Linked DNA regions of Oreochromis niloticus. The protein of the gene in region 1 interacts with the protein of each later gene in a biochemical or structural test. Links are inferred from orthologs where the notes say so. Each region holds a gene or a part of one and is shown in the gene's direction. Other genes may lie near its edges.

Region 1 (7,556 bases):
TGTTAGGTGAATGCATTAAGCTACATTATGGAGCCACCTTTCAGTTTTGTACCTGACCATTTTCACAGGAATGTTTTATTAAACCACCACTGACCTATAAATCATTCACGCATGAAAAGAACACCCATCTCCAGGAATGAACTGGTTTTGTCCGATTAAGCAAAGTATTAGTTTTACATTGTATCATTAGGGACTTTATTACCAGCAGCCTGTGACAAAAACACACAATTTCTTTAGCTGCATTCATAAAAAATGCCAAAGATAACATGGTAGCATTGTGGTTTTCAAAGCCAAGAAAAACTTTGCATAACTCAGTTTCTTGTGAAGAGTGTACTTAAAATTTTTAAAGAAACTGGACAAGTGGGAGGACAAAAGATAAATAGCCAGGCCTAAAAAAGATGTCTACAACAGATGAATAGCATCTGAAAGTCATGCCCTTGAGAAACAGGAGACGATTCATCTTACTGTTCACTGAAGATCACCAGAAATGATCTAATTGGAAAGCTTGCTGTCAATAAACCAGGAGAAAGAAGTTGAGTTATGCCAGATAAAACAAGAACTGGACCGAGAATCAGTGGTCCTATAGAGTGATATGAATGAGGTCAGGAGAGAGGTACAAAGTGTCTGCAGCCATCTGTAAAACATGGTGAAGGCTCTGTCATGGTTTGGGGCTGCATTTCCACCAGTGATGCTGTGGATCTTGTCAAAACAGATGGAATTATGAGCATCAGATTTTGATCCACCATGCAATACCATCTGGAAAGCATTACACTGGCAACAGCTTCATTTTTCAGCATGAGAATAACCACAAACACACAGTCATGCACTATACCTGGATAAGAAAACACACAGTGGAACATCATCACTCATGGATTGGCCTCCCCAGAGCTTGGACCTCAACATTACTGAAGCAGTGTGGGATCACGCCGACTTCCAAGCTAGTTAAAATTATATGTGTTTCCATTTATGTTTCCACATGTTTTGCACACCCACGTGAGGGGCGCCTGAGACTTTTCTACAACACTGTTAGGGTCTAAAACAAAAAAATCAGAGCTTATGAATTTCACATTTTGACATGTTGCAAGACTGAAGGTGAAGTGATCATCAAAAGAAGTCATCCTTAAGTGATGCTTGTTGTTATACATTTTAGTTTGGGGCAAAGATGTGCAACGTGTAACATCCTCATTTCTGGTGGTAGACTACTTGCATGACTAAAAAGATTAAATCGTCAACAACTTGAATCTGCTGAGCAAAGGTTACCTAGACGGAATTGGCAATGTCTATGTTTTGGATTCATTACAGCTGCAAGTTAATGCATATTTGATGTGCTTGTTAATGAACATAATTGCATTATCGGTCTTTATCATCATAAAGAAATACACAATGCAAATCCAAGGTTTGTGTTTTTCAGTCATGTCTGGCCAACAGTGGATTGCATGAAGGTATTATTGCTTTCAGTCATACTGTGGGATATGTTGAAAACAGAATATTAACTTCTGTAATTTACATGCCTCAACCCTACTGCTGCGAGCACGTCTCCTATATCTGGATATCTCTAATCTCATGCTTCCTCATCATGCCTTAAGTCCTTTCTGCAGAGCAACTGCTGTCACTATTATCTCCCAAACAGATAGTCATGCCAACACTGTCTCCCTCTTTGTCACTCTGTTTCGCTCAGCATACAGTGTGACAGGGTATAGTGCAAGTGTTAAACCAGGGAAAGAGCTCAGAAACAAGCACACAATGTCACACCAGTGTCACACCATATAAATTCTTTATAGGATGAGTTCAAGTTTAAAGCATTGACTGCTGGTGTGTAAAATATGATTCATTTTAAGGACTAGTGAATGGGAAATATGTGCATGCTTTTTGTGCTCATGTGAGTTAAATAGGGACTGAACGTCTTTTCTGTCACAGTAGGGCCCTCCTTCATGCCAGGTCAATGTGTTTTTTTCCACAGCTCACCTAAAGCCAGCATCTGCTCACTGGTGGTGGCTCTGTGCTTGGCGAGGCTTAGAAAGGCGTGCATGTGTCTAGAATGTACAATATTTCTCCAAGCTCCATTCAAGGCTGAAAATGCGTGCCAGTTGGAGACGAGAACTTAGCGCCATGACATCAAGACTATGCTTTGTGGTTCTCTTGTCTGGAAGGAATCTTTTTGTGGGTTGTGAGATGTTCATTAGCGTGACATGTGGGTGAAACTGGTTTGTAAATTAATCTTATTTGGGGGGCGTCAAAGTTGTTGTCATTTATTTTGCGATCTGCTGACATCCACTCATCGTCACAAATTAATAGAGGCCGTATCAGTTACCATCAGGCTCCAGCGTTACCTTATGGCAGTTAGCAGTTAGATGTGTTTGCGCCTCCCACAGATAGCCTGGGGAGTGTGCATATTTGTGTGTGTGCAGTATGAATTTATGTGCCTGTTTGTGTCTGTGTTTATGTGTGATTCAGACATAAAGTCAAAACTGGCTATCTGCCTCAGTACAGACGTCCCCACAAGAGTGCAAAAGCAAAAAAAAAGAAAAGCTGCTTCTTGTGAGGGCTGCCTCCAACAGAGGAGAATTTTAATGCTCTGGTTGTGTCACTAATATGTGACATTTCATCCGCTGTGAAGATTTGGGGTGTTGTAATCTAGCTTTTTTTTGCTTTGTCTGTGTTCTCTCAGCCGTGTTGCCATGTTTTAGTCACACTTCAGTTACTTATTTCTTATAACTGAGTATGTAGATGATGTCTCCAAACTTTTCCCTCAGCTGAACTGCCCACAGAAGCAATACAACCAAAACATTATCTGTGTTTTAATTACATTTGCAGCAAAGGGAAAACATCTATCTGGTAGTGGGTTGCCATTTCCTTTTCTCTTGAATGAAAAAAATATGCACACACATGCAAAATGATTACTTTTGGAACCATGTGAAAGCAGTCATAAAGCTTGATGTTAAACATTAAATTTATCTTCTTATTGCACTTGAATTATATTTGAAAAATGTCAGGTTTGCTAATCAATGCAAAGAAATGTCACCCTTTAAAAAAATGAGGCAAGCTTCATTAAACATAACATTTGTGCATTCAAATAGTGTTAATAGTGAAGAAGTGCACTTAGGAAAACTGCACGTGAGAAATTCCAAGTCAAAGTATGCATGATGAGGAATTCATTTAGAAAAACATATTTAAAAACTGTAGGTGATTCGTCTGCCACCAAGTATAACATACTGTTGGACTTATTCTACCTCTTCCTTTTTTAATGTATTTCTGTGCCTACAGGCTGTAATTAATATTTTATTTCAATGTCAAATTAGATATGAATATATTATCCAGGTCTTACTTAAATGGAAGTTCTTATTTAAGTCACATGTGTAAAGGGTAGAGAGCAAGATGATATAAAAGCTAGATTTTAAGTGCTGCAGTTGGGCAGGACTGCACTTAATATAACTATTCATGTACTTCCTAAAGTGCCAAAACATTGCATTTCTAGTTGTAAAATAATGGATAAATGGATCATCAATGGATTATCAACAACTATGTTTCTTTCCAGGAGGTTCTGTCTAACACTCACACTCAGTCATTAAAAGAGAGCGACGGTCCAATGCCACTTACAAAGAGTCAAAAATTGATCCTGATGTAACATTTACATTTCTGGTTTGGACTTCCCTATACATGCACACACTCAGGAAGGTGGTTTGTGTCATTTGTATTGAATGGAACCAGCAGGTACAAATAAATCTCAGTGGTGTAATATGAAATTGTACATTCTTTCCTTATTACTTGTCCCAAGGACAAACAAAACGGTTTGCTTCCTGTCCTTTTACTTGGCTTGGTAGCATTCACTGTGTAAAATTGCTGGGATGAAAGCCAACAGAGTCCTAAGAAATGCCAGCAATTAACAATAATGACAAGGTTTGGCAATAGATGAAAAAAAAATACATATATAAATATAAAAGATCATTATCTAAGAAAATGACAATGAGGAATGCGTGGGATGGATTTGTAAGTCCATGTGTTCGCTTATTTCTTTCATTACCATTTTTCACGGCTTTTGCTGATCCACCAACTCACATCCTAACAGAGCATGTGCCCACTTATTAACCAACTGTTTCTTTAGTGATCAAAAGATGTCCAAAAATGTTTTAAATCCCACACTGTCATTTTCCATTATTTACTTATTACACAAAAAGCGCAAACCGTGCCACGGAGAGAAGACTGAACTGTGGAAAATCGGAGGCAAACATAAGGGAATAGGGTTTCACTTACACCGGTGACATTAAAAAAAAAAAACATGCATCCCTCTTAGGAATTAAACAGATGTAACCCCGCCTTGATTTTCCACAGTTCTTCACAGCCGCCGCGTCTCCCGTCTCCGTCAGTGCAGAAGGTAACTCTTAGCTCTCTGCGTAAAGCTCCTGGACACCAGAAGGGCACCGCTCAGTTTCCGCTTCTGCTTCTCCGCTCTCTCAAGATCAGAACTGATTTAAAAAAAATTAAAAAAAAAAAATCAAACCTCGAGGCTTTAATTAAACGACCGGAAAACAGCAAGTGATCTTAGGTGTCGTTTTAAATCATTCTTTCACTGTTAGGCTATGTATTTTGGCTCCCAGTAGTGCGTTTATTTTTTACCTACCAGCTTGAACTAATGCCTCGCACCAGAGACGACGCGCAGAGACTGTTCTTTCTTTAAAGAGTAAGCAATGAGTAAAGCAAATAAAGGATACAGTGGGAGCTAACTGTGGATGATCTTGGATTTAACAGCCGCTTCCCGTGAAAACAAAGATTCAGAAACTTATGGCGTGAAGGTAAGACAGTTCTTACTGTTTTCTCTGTGTGATGTATTAAACTTAAGAAAAATAAGATAATCCAGGGTATAGCTTATAATCTATGACATGTCGCTCAAAGATGCATACATACATTAACTAACACTGCAGGTAGCGCAAGCGGCTGTGCATTGTGGGGAGGATTTATTTGTATGACAGGTCTACTGTTTACCTTATCGATCCTGGGCTGGGCGTTAATATAAGACATTTTTAACCACCCCAAGAAAGAGTGGGGGGCTGGGGGGCTATAAGTGAGTTATACCCTAGTTTCAGACTTGAGAGTGGCGATGTGTCTGTGTCATGGTGCCCTTCCCAACCCGCGAAGCGCTGATTTCAGATCTGTTCGTGCTTTCTAATTTGTAATTAGTGCTGGGTTTTCAGAGGCACAAGCTTCGTGCTGCGCAGGTGACTGCTGTACACGCTGCACACTCCGTCCTGTATCAGCATCGCTAAGCAGCTTTAACAAGTTACCAACAACAGGGGAAATAAATGAAGTGGAAAATTTATCTAAACCTCTCCTGATAAGCCTGCGTGCCTCGAAAGCGCGTTTGATGGAGTTTGTTACCCATTTATGATCTATGTGAATATTAAAAAAAAACAAATGTGTATATTATATGCATGTTCCGAGTCACTGCCATATTCTAAATAACACATAAACAGCATAACAAATAACTGAATAATGCTAATGATTGTGGTGATTTTGATTTAAGACTTGTCACTTTTGATTGAGTCAGTGCTAAAAGGGGAGAAAGAAAGGAAAGAAAAGTGTGACTGCCTTCTGGAAAATATTAATAAGCCACCATAACAACAAAAACCTGCTTTGACATTTGGTCAGCAGCTGCTCTGTACCCAGCAGGTATGGATATCTGAATAGGTCAGGTGGTTATAACACCTGGTTGGCAAATTGGTGGTTTCATCAAAAGGGACACTGTCAGGCTTTATTTGTCAAGGAAAATTGCTCATGTCAACTCCACTTGACTAGAATTAACTACTTAAATCTTCTTTAAAATAGAAACCAAACCAGTAATCCTTAGTGAAACCATCTTAGGTTAAATGGATAGAGGCTGAGCCTGGTTATTGAATTCCCTTGACACATTTTGAATTCTATACATTCCTGTGTCTGATCTGCTGGACCGTTTTGTGTGGAAAACAGTCTGACCGGAGCTGCCTGATGCAGGTTTGTCAAGCCTAGCTGTTTGGCCACAAGCAGATTTTCTGAAACAAATCTCCTGGATGCTTCGAGTCAAATGTCTGTATACACAAATTAATCCCTACACGGATTATTTGAATTAATACTAGGGAAAAAACATTAACAATGGTTCAGATTCCATAAGATTCCATAAGATGCATTGTGAGAGATTTGATTTCATGGCAACATTTACGTTAAGGTGGTGCACAGACTTTGAATGGATTAAGCGCATAAAGATCTAAAGGGAAATCACTTGATTCGGCCGGTCGATCGATAAAATGCTCAGATTCAATGCATTGCTCTCAAATGACATGCAGTCAACAGAAACAACACTGTGTCGCAGCTTGTGCTTGTTAAATCCAATTACAAACCCAAACAAAAGTTGTTTGGGTGCAGGGAGCTGCTGCTGTGAAACCACAGCGTGTTTTATTAATCAGACAGATTTGAAAGTCATTCACAGGAGAAATCTTACGTCGGACTGGGGTGGTGCAGTTGTTTTGTTTTGCAAAAGAAGAAACTGTAAGGAATTCAAATTTAATTTTGTTGTCTGTATATATTTATACTGTATATATATATCTATATTTGTATAATGCTGTGCACCTTCTGTAATTCTGTTTGCAGTCTTGTATGGTTTAAGCCTTGCCATGGTCTGGAGGAACATTTAATTTCATGGTGTATAGTATTACCTGTACATTATATGGCTGAATGAAGCCGCTTGGCTTGCCATTTCAGAAAGGAATACACTTTAAAAAGTGGTGTATTTTTTTTTTACTAATCAAGTCTTACTTGACTTCATGCATCTTGCAAAGTGCAACTTCATAAATGTATAGGTGCAGAAATTAAACCACATATATGCCAAGATCTATAAACACTTTTTAATCATTGTGTATAGAAGATGCAGCTCAGACCCAGAATGTCATGAAGCACTTGATGATACTCAGTTGGGCCTCAAAGAACAGCACACCTGACCTTTGCTTGTGGTGCCATCTGACATCTAAGCAACCAAAGATGAAATATAAATAGTTTAGATTTTCAGCGGAACATAGAGCTTACTAACCACCATGGTAAATGGCCTGTATTTGTATAGTGCTTTACTAGTCCCTAAGGACCCCAAAGCGCTTTACACACCCAGTCATCCACCCATTCACACACACATTCACACACTGGTGATGGCAAGCTACATTGTAGCCACAGCCACCCTGGGGCACACATCCACAAGCTCTAACTCAGCTACAGGGTTCTTCTTGTATGTCTCACAGATTTTATATCATGGTCATGAGCCACAAACATCCCTGTAAGTAAATTACTTAATTGTATTGGATCTCTGAGACTTTATCCAACTCGCTTACAGTCTTTCTCTCCTGAAACCCATTTCCCAGCATGTCAAATACATCAACACTCAAGGGACGCACACAATTACTGACAGGATGGATGAGCCAGTTAGGTCCAAAACCAATAGGAGATCTATTATGATCGTGGTTCTACTGTTATATGCTGCGATAGTCAGGTTAGCTGGTTGGTCTATATATGCATTAATGGTGTGTCCATATTACATATTG
Region 2 (8,262 bases), on another chromosome or scaffold:
GGGTGTCTCTCTCTCTCTCTCTCTCTGGAAAATCTGTAAACCTAAGAATATTTCCTCCTGCTGGTGGAGTTTCTCCTCCCTTTTAGTGTTCCATCTGCTAATTAAGACAAATGTTGCGTTGATGCTATACTGTCAGCCCTGATATGATAGCTTTCCAGCATTTGCAAGGCAGTACGGAGGGTGCTGAAACTCGAAATGTGCAGTCATTTTCCTGGCCGTGGCATTTCTTCCAGGAGCCCCCCAGCTGTTTTAGCATATGTCAGCATATCACAGGGATGCCGATGTTGCGCCGGCATTTAATGATGCCACTGTGCTGCTGATGGTGATGCCTTAATGATCGTGGTGTGTGGTTTCTGATAAACGGCTATAATCTGCAAGTGATTATGAACAATCATTTTCAGGGGAGGTGCTTTTGTAATATGTGTTTCAATAATGGCGTGATGTGAAGTGAAGCGGTGTTTGATGAATGCATTATTCTGTTATGTTGTCCTGTTTGGAAGGTAAATGACTACAGGAGCAGAATTTTCATGTCTCACTCTGGTAGTCGAGTTTTCTACGCCAAGACTTTTTTATGACCTAAAATGTGTGGCATCACAGATATGCACAAAAAACAGAATGATCATACAAAACTGACAGCAGCAGCAAAAACACTAGTTTAAAAGTCTGTGATATCACAAAGCAGATACTGTATGTATAAGCATACAGCTGGGTGGTGCAATGGTAATGCAATTGCCTTCCAAACAGATCCAGACAATGCAAACCTTACCTTATTACCTGCTGCAATACCTACTGAAGTTAACTTCAACATAGTGATCTAAAATTAGACAAACATAAGACAGCATTTAGACTGAACTTGATACAAGATGCAGACTTTAGTTTAGTAAACTCAACAAGGCTTCTAAAGTTCTAAATGATCCAGAAAGATCAAAAAAATCTTAGAGCAATTTGCCCCATTTTTGCCATGGCCTCTTTCTCTATTTCTCAGCCTTGTTCTCTCTATTCCTACGGGGCTACTGTAACTGCAGTTGACTGCAATAAGGAACTGCAGGGAAGGATACTGAATACTAAGATGGCCAAGTCAGACAGCCTACATTTTGATCCAACCCTCCCATGAATTAACAGAAAGCTCCTATCGGGCTATAGAATGATGGCGTGGCAGTTGTTAATGAACAAATCCAATAGCTGAACATCTGTTTACACGACGCTCGGGGGAGTTGAATTTTAATAAGCTACGCATGGAGATGTCTGACTGCAAAGTTTGGACTCGAGCATGAGTAAGAGGAATCGGGAGCAAAAATACAAATGAGCCTTCTGGTTACATGACTCGTCCTCGCGTCCTTCAGTATAAAAATCAATAAATGAAAACTGCAGCGCATTAATCTTTTTTCTTCAGACCAATTAAAATTCCTTTCCCCATCTTTTAGCAAGTAATGTATCTGAAATCATTTTCCCTTATTCCCATCTTGTTCTCTTTCCCAGCAGGGCCCTGCAATCTCCAGATCAGTAATTATAGTAGCCTATGTTTGGATACACCTTACCTGAAGTTTGCTGGTATGGTGTCTCAATTTACAATCCCACTCTCAAGCTTTCAGTTTTATTTACTTCTGCCACAGACCTTCTACTGTGGCTTGTTTGTCTTTTGGTTAGATTATGCATGTAATTCAACAGAAGATAGTTTCATGAATTTTGGGAAAAGAAGGAACAATCTTTAAAAAATGGGGTGGATTGTGCAGTTTGTTTTAATAACATAAATGAGTTGCACACACAGACTGTACATAAGAGATGTATGCAACCACTGAGAATTCACCCATTGGTTAGTAAAGTTTCATCCCAAGGGCTGAGGTGATAGATAACATCTTAGCATTTTGAAACCAGTCGTAGTTGGGTGTGGCCAAAAACAGGCCCACTCGTGGGATAAGAAATTACCAATCACAAGGTAGACCTGCCCCAAGGCAAATGCTGCTTTATTGCTGTGTTTTAACAGGGAGCATCATTTCTAGAATGAACATCATGCTGTGTTTAATAAACTAGCCACTGAGACCATAAAACTCATTAGGAAAGTATTCGCTGGGCTCATAGATCAAGCAACTGAAGGTTTGTATTTCCCACAGAGATTACTGAAATCTTTCTTGTTTTGGTAACAAAACGACCCCCCCACCCCCCTTTCACTTTTTACGTGTCATTTTTCAGACCCGGAAACCAAGCCCACTTTTTAAATACAGTCTATGTTGACACCAGCAGCAACTGCACCACCATATAAGCGTGGTTGCAGAGAAGGGATGGGCATTCTTCCAAGACCATCCATCATATTATAACCCCCCCCCAAAAAAGATAACCTTTTCTTTTTTTGTAGCTCAGTGACTAATATTAGAAAATCATGCACATCCCTACCCTCAAGGCTAACAAACTTTACTCCCTAAATAACTGATGAATAATGAGGCTTTTACTCTACCACCTTTATTTGGAAACCTGTGCACAGATGTCTCCCAATCTCTCTCTAGTCAAATTTGTAAATGTCTCTTAATTTTTGTGGACGTGTACAAGACCTGCAAATCTGTCATTAGAGCTTGTGTGTGCACAGTCAGATATGAAGATGTGCAATAAAAAACATCCCAGTCTGTATTCAGCTTCAAAACTGTGCTGCGGAGAAAAGCAGACAAGTCGGGCGAGCCTCTCTGTGGGAGATACATGTGTTGGAGAAAGTTGTCTGCAGTCACGTTTTCCTTTTTTACCTGAAATTTGTATTTTTAGCAAGCCTTATTAAGCATAATTCACTGTAATTTGAACCCAGACTTTCTCTGTGAAGGTCAAAAACTTGACCCTACCTTACGAAGTTAATATAGTACCTTACGAACCCTATTTTCAGTAGTAACAGTATTTTTCTTCGCAGTGACCACAATATTTTTTTTAACCATGGTTGACTCAGACTGTCAACATTTTATGTTACTAAAAATAACTCACTCATAAGTGATATACATGTATTCAGCTATGTATAAGCTTTGATAAACTTCTGATGCCTGAGCCCTCCACACTAGTAGTGTTTTTGGGGAGGACACTGAACTAACTTGCTCCCGATGTCAGACAAGCTCCTTGCATTCCAGCTCCACGGCCGAGTGTGTGTATGTGTGTGTCTGCTTATGTGAAACTCATTACAAAGCCCTGTAGAACCTGGCAAAGGTTAAATAATGTTCTGCAAGTGGCCCTTAACACATTTCACAGTTAAGATATGAAAGGAATAAATAACAATACCGGTCTGCATCAGTACAGTGTGTACTCCACTTCTCACTGGGAAAGGCTCCACTGCAACCTTGAATTGGGTAAGCGAGAGAAGATGCATGGATGGATAAATATAAGAATACTTGGATTCACTGAACATTTATTGGATAGTCTGGGTCCTGATGAGAAAGCAAGTGAAAAGCAGTGAGCACACACATTTGTCTTCTCAAGAACATAACTTAAAACCATATATGTAATAGCATGTATGGTGTTATGTTTAGAGAATGTGTGCACCTGCATACCTATCAAGCAGCAGACTATGGCATCAGTAGCCGCTTCACCAACAGGGGGACCTCAGAATAATCCCTCTCACGTTTCCATGGTGGTCACGCTTTAACTCGTGTTGTCATTATGCTGAAGCCCTCTGGTGAAGTTATTTTAATTTTGACCAAAGGCCTGTGAGTGTTAAAGTTCATACTCAGCAGTGATTCAGCAGCCTTTTGCTGAAAATGTAACGACCCACTTACACACATCATTTATTCACACCCCATTGTTTGAACGGCTTGCTGCCCTAGGGAGGCTTTGAGACTGTAGATGGGCTTTTTAACAAGCTAGCAGATCAGTCTCTCCAAACATGACTTGATGTTTTCGTTTTGTAACCAAGCTTTAAAAAAACTAAACCAAACATATCACGAAACACAAAAACTATTTCAGTGTGTAACTTGGCTACCTGCCGTGTTATCAACCATTAACATTAAGTTTGACAATTCACTGTTAATGGAGGAAAGAGAGAGAACAGAGAGAGCAAAAGAGGCAGGTGATCTTTTTTTGAGTATGGGCTGCTCTGCTGCTGACATTTGAAATGATTGAAAATAGCTTGCATTTAAAATGCCATTGATTTTAGGTGTTTTTTTTTTTTAAATGAGTCATTGAATATGTATGATGTGATCATGAGAAACGCCATTAACAAATGCTAATCATTTCTGTGTTATTTAGTTTGGTGTGAGAATACTGAAAAGTTTAAACAAGTGCAGATATGGAAGTGGATTACTTTGTAGCTATTTTTAAACATAGCAATAAATAAATAAATAAATAAATGAATGAATAAATAAACTTTTCTTTACTTCACACTAAAAAAGTGATCTTTATACAAACCGGTATTATTAACGGTAGTTACTTGGGCCAAACGCTGTAAATCAGATATCATGTAAATTTGGAATTTTACCTCAAACGCAGGACTGCCAATGGCATTGTGGGAATTGTAGTGTTGCTCAACCTTGACTGACCCCGACGAAGGACTAAAAGTTAGATTATTCCGAATCGTTTTAGCCCCTTTACTTAAGGAACTTTGATATTTATGTTAAAAATGTAACTTATTCCTTTTTAATACAACCCTTTGCCACAATTAATTTTTGTCCGTTTGAACAACAAACTCAGATTTCACAAGTTACAAACACTAACTTTGAATCCAGTGCAGTGATTAGGCATTAAAAAAGGGTAAGTGGCTAATTTGAGTGTTATAAAGAAAAACAAGACACCCCGCCACCACTTTCGACCTTTTCTTTCTTTCTTTTTTTGTGTGTAAAACTGGGCAGGCAGACTGACCTGTAAACAACGTTACATATAATGTGAATATGAGTCGAAAAGTTAACCTCTCGCTATGTGCCCGGTGACACGTGTAAAGGCTCTCAAAGCACACAAAGAGTCAGTGTGTGTCCAGTGGTACCGCGACGTCAGTGTCTCTGGCACTGAGCTGAGTTGGTCGGGGCCATGCAGCAGAGGCAGCAACGTCACTCCCTGACGGCGGCATCAGAGCAGCACGGACGGCCATCCGCGCAGCAGCGAGTCGCTCGCTCCGGAACTCGGCGAAGGAAGACGGCGTCGGACAGCGGCTTTCTGCTGTGGGGCAAATTATTTCTTTTCACCGCGACTTTCCGCTTTTGTGGCTAAGGTAACCAGAAGCCGCTTTATATGGGAACGTTTTTTTCTTTATTCATTTAAAGGTGTGTTTTCTGTTTTTTTTTTTCCTTGTCAACTAGCTACACGGAACAGCATGGGTACCAAACGTTTCGAGTACAATGACTAGCTTCCCGCACTGTAGCCATAAACTGAGGGTTGCTATGGTACTGCCAGGCAACATCCCACCTGCTGCTGCCGCGACTGTATGTATTTCTCGCTGCTGTCAATCAAAACACGTTGAAATTAATAAAAACAAAGCGCTTTTCGAGGGTTTTAACCAGGCTATACGTTTGTTGAGATTGTATGTATTTTAGTTGTGCTGTTTTGTCTTAGCCAGCTGTTTGAATCAGTCATTTAACAACGTGACTTCATTTTCTGCTCGTTTAGGCTGTGCTGATTTAACGCAGAATACTTTAATAGCAGCCTCTACAGTTAAATTGACAGCACTCTTCTAGCTGCATATTGTCTGATGCCTGCTGGCTACACTCAGCAGCTTAGGCAGACACTAGAAAGGTCGTCTTGTTTTGAGTGTTTTTCCAGTCAAGTGCCCATGTGTCTGTGGCTCTAGGTGACAGTCCAGTCCATTTCTCATGAAACACAGCACATGCCTGTCATTCCCTTTGTAACTGCTGTCTGTTTGTTTATTTTCATAGTGTCTGTGTAATATCCAGGACCAGAAGGCTTGAGCAAACGCAAAATGGTGATTACCAGCGTGGCATCCCTCGCAAAGACATCGCTGGCCGTGGACGCAGAGTACAGATGTTTGCAGTGAAGGTGCATAGTGCGTACAGTAGTCTTCTAATTCTGTGGCTCAGACAGCTGCTGTGGTTAACCGTCAGTGCATGCCAACGCCCGGCCCACGGTACAAAGAAATTCCATTATCCCCATCTCTGTGACAGAGAGGAAGAAATCACCATGCCGTGTTGTCATGAGGCCAGAAAAGGAGGGAGAATTATGAGTCAGAATGGAGGAGAAAAAAAAAGAAAACTGTCACTCTTCAAATACACATCTAAACTTGGTAGACAGCTCACATGCTTATTTTAAGAGCAGCACCGGATCTCTTTTGTGCTGTTCAGTTGGCATCAGAGCTGTAGAACCGTGAACAGACTTGGCGTCTTTCTGGTATCTTCTTTTTTTTTTTCCCTAGAAATTATTACTGAAGCCTTTTAAAACTGTTTCTTTACACTGTGGTGTCTGTGTAAATTCCAAGGATTAGAGCTAACGTTTTAGAGCGAGCGCAAAGTGCAGCGGGGGGCATCCAAGTCGAGCTCTGTTCATTGTATTTTAGTTTACACACCTCCTTATCTCAGCTGTCAAGAGGGAGGACTCTTTTTCTACAGTAACTTACCCTGAGCAATAGAGATAGTGGTGGGAAAGGAGGGGTGGGAGGAGTGAGAAGAACAGAGAATGACTGTGAGGGAGCGAGCGTGCTTAACCCAGCCACTGAGTGACTCTTGTATCCAAGGACGAAGGTAGCAACGTGTCCAAACGCCACTCTTCGCCCACGGGCTGCTGTGAAGAAATGAGGCGGACACATAGGCGCTCCGCAGCGCTCGTATAGACTCAACAACCTGCTGGGTCCTCTTCACGTGGTCCCCTGGGGTTTGACTCGTCTGTGTGGAGTGCTGATGGCTGAGCAGATCATGACCACAGCTAGAGTGATATACACAGAACGATTAGCGTGAATGGGAGTGTTTTATTTCTTTTTCTGTCAAAGCAAACTCAAATAAAAGTGTCTTTCTCCTATCTCACCCGTGTCTTCGCACCTAAACTGGCCCCACTTCTCTTGCGTGTTTTGGCAGAGGAGCAGACTGGCGAGGACGTAGTAACAGGTGATACGTGCCAGCGTGGATTTGGAGGCGTCGAAGAGAGCTGAAGATCATGGGTAAATCCAACAGCAAGCTCAAGCCAGAGGTGGTAGAGGAGTTGACAAGGAAAACCTACTGTGAGTAACTGAAAGTGTGTTTGTTTTTTGCTTGTTCTTACAAAGAAAAACTTTGCAGAAACTTTTTCTGTGAGCTTGTCATAGCCTGTTGGCCTGAGGTTAAAGAACATACAGCTTGCAATAGGAATACATAATACAGAGTTTATTGCTGCGGTTTGCTAATCTCATTTTCCACCCACTGTGCACCACACAGGCTTAACAGTAAATAACGCTGCCTGCTGGGATGCTTTGGGATGCTATACATTTTTCACCACTGACAGAGCAGATGTCAGTTGCGAACGATCTCCTCATTTGTTTCAAATTTCAGATTTTTGAATGTATCGCAGACATTACTAAGCTAAGGCTGAGTAAAAAGTTGCAACCGGCGTCTTTAAGTTACGCTGAGGACATAGTAGAGTTTGCGGCAGCTGTAATGATAGCTTTTCTTTACAGATGAGCGTGTGGTTTTATGTGTTGCGCTTGTAAACATGCTGTATTTTCTACTTCTAATGTGACAGACATTGATAAATTTAAACATACAAAGGGTAAATCAATTCACGCCGTGCTTGTGCTGCTACACTTATAAATTGCATTCCTGCATCAAGATCGATGGATGGGGTGGGCTCACAGAAAGGGGACTGACCCTCCAATCAAAAACTGTAGCGAAGGTGTGACTTTGTAATTATATCTTCTATCGTTGTTCCCGTTGATGCATTAGGGTGCAAATTGACTGTATTTCTACCATCTTACCAGCCGTTGCTTACCAATGTCTGCTCAGCTATCACTTTGGATCACATTTCTAATTACCACCAGCAATGTCTGCTTGGTATCCACTATATTAACCACTTGTGTGTTATTTTTGGAGCACAGCATTGCTATTATTATTATTATTATTATTATTATTTGAGCACCGTGGTGTGCAGGTGTGGGTGGGAGTTGACATCCCCTGGCTGCTTAATGACAGTGTTATTTGTGTGGTGGGTCTCTCCACAGCAGAACCAAGGAAGGCTGTTGTAGCAGGAAATTGCTGTGGAGGAAGATTAGACTTCATGCTGGGCTGGACTGCTTGCTGCTGTCCCTTTCTCTCTCTCGCTCTCTCCCCCTCTCTGACTGGCTTTCTCATTCTCTCTTAACCTTTCACCCTGTCTCTTTTGCTTTTCCCC

The links.
Region 2: the proteins of drd2a (region 1) and neuronal calcium sensor 1 form a complex in vitro, tested with the Homo sapiens proteins (2 studies listed by BioGRID, with this or other methods). The link is inferred for Oreochromis niloticus from reciprocal best matches to the Homo sapiens genes DRD2 and NCS1.

What each region holds. Positions count from the first base shown.
Region 1 is NC_031979.2:20,914,971-20,922,526, forward strand, and holds the start of drd2a (dopamine receptor D2a), read left to right. Parts: upstream 1-4,285; 5' UTR 4,286-4,790; intron 4,791-7,556. UniProt on the Homo sapiens protein: Dopamine receptor whose activity is mediated by G proteins which inhibit adenylyl cyclase. Positively regulates postnatal regression of retinal hyaloid vessels via suppression of VEGFR2/KDR activity, downstream of OPN5.
Region 2 is NC_031977.2:11,092,988-11,101,249, forward strand, and holds the start of neuronal calcium sensor 1, read left to right. Parts: upstream 1-5,014; 5' UTR 5,015-5,167; intron 5,168-5,255; exon of another isoform or gene 5,256-5,378; intron 5,379-5,828; 5' UTR 5,829-5,949; exon of another isoform or gene 5,950-5,956; intron 5,957-6,977; 5' UTR 6,978-7,056; coding exon 7,057-7,120; intron 7,121-8,262. UniProt on the Homo sapiens protein: Neuronal calcium sensor, regulator of G protein-coupled receptor phosphorylation in a calcium dependent manner. Directly regulates GRK1 (RHOK), but not GRK2 to GRK5. Can substitute for calmodulin. Stimulates PI4KB kinase activity.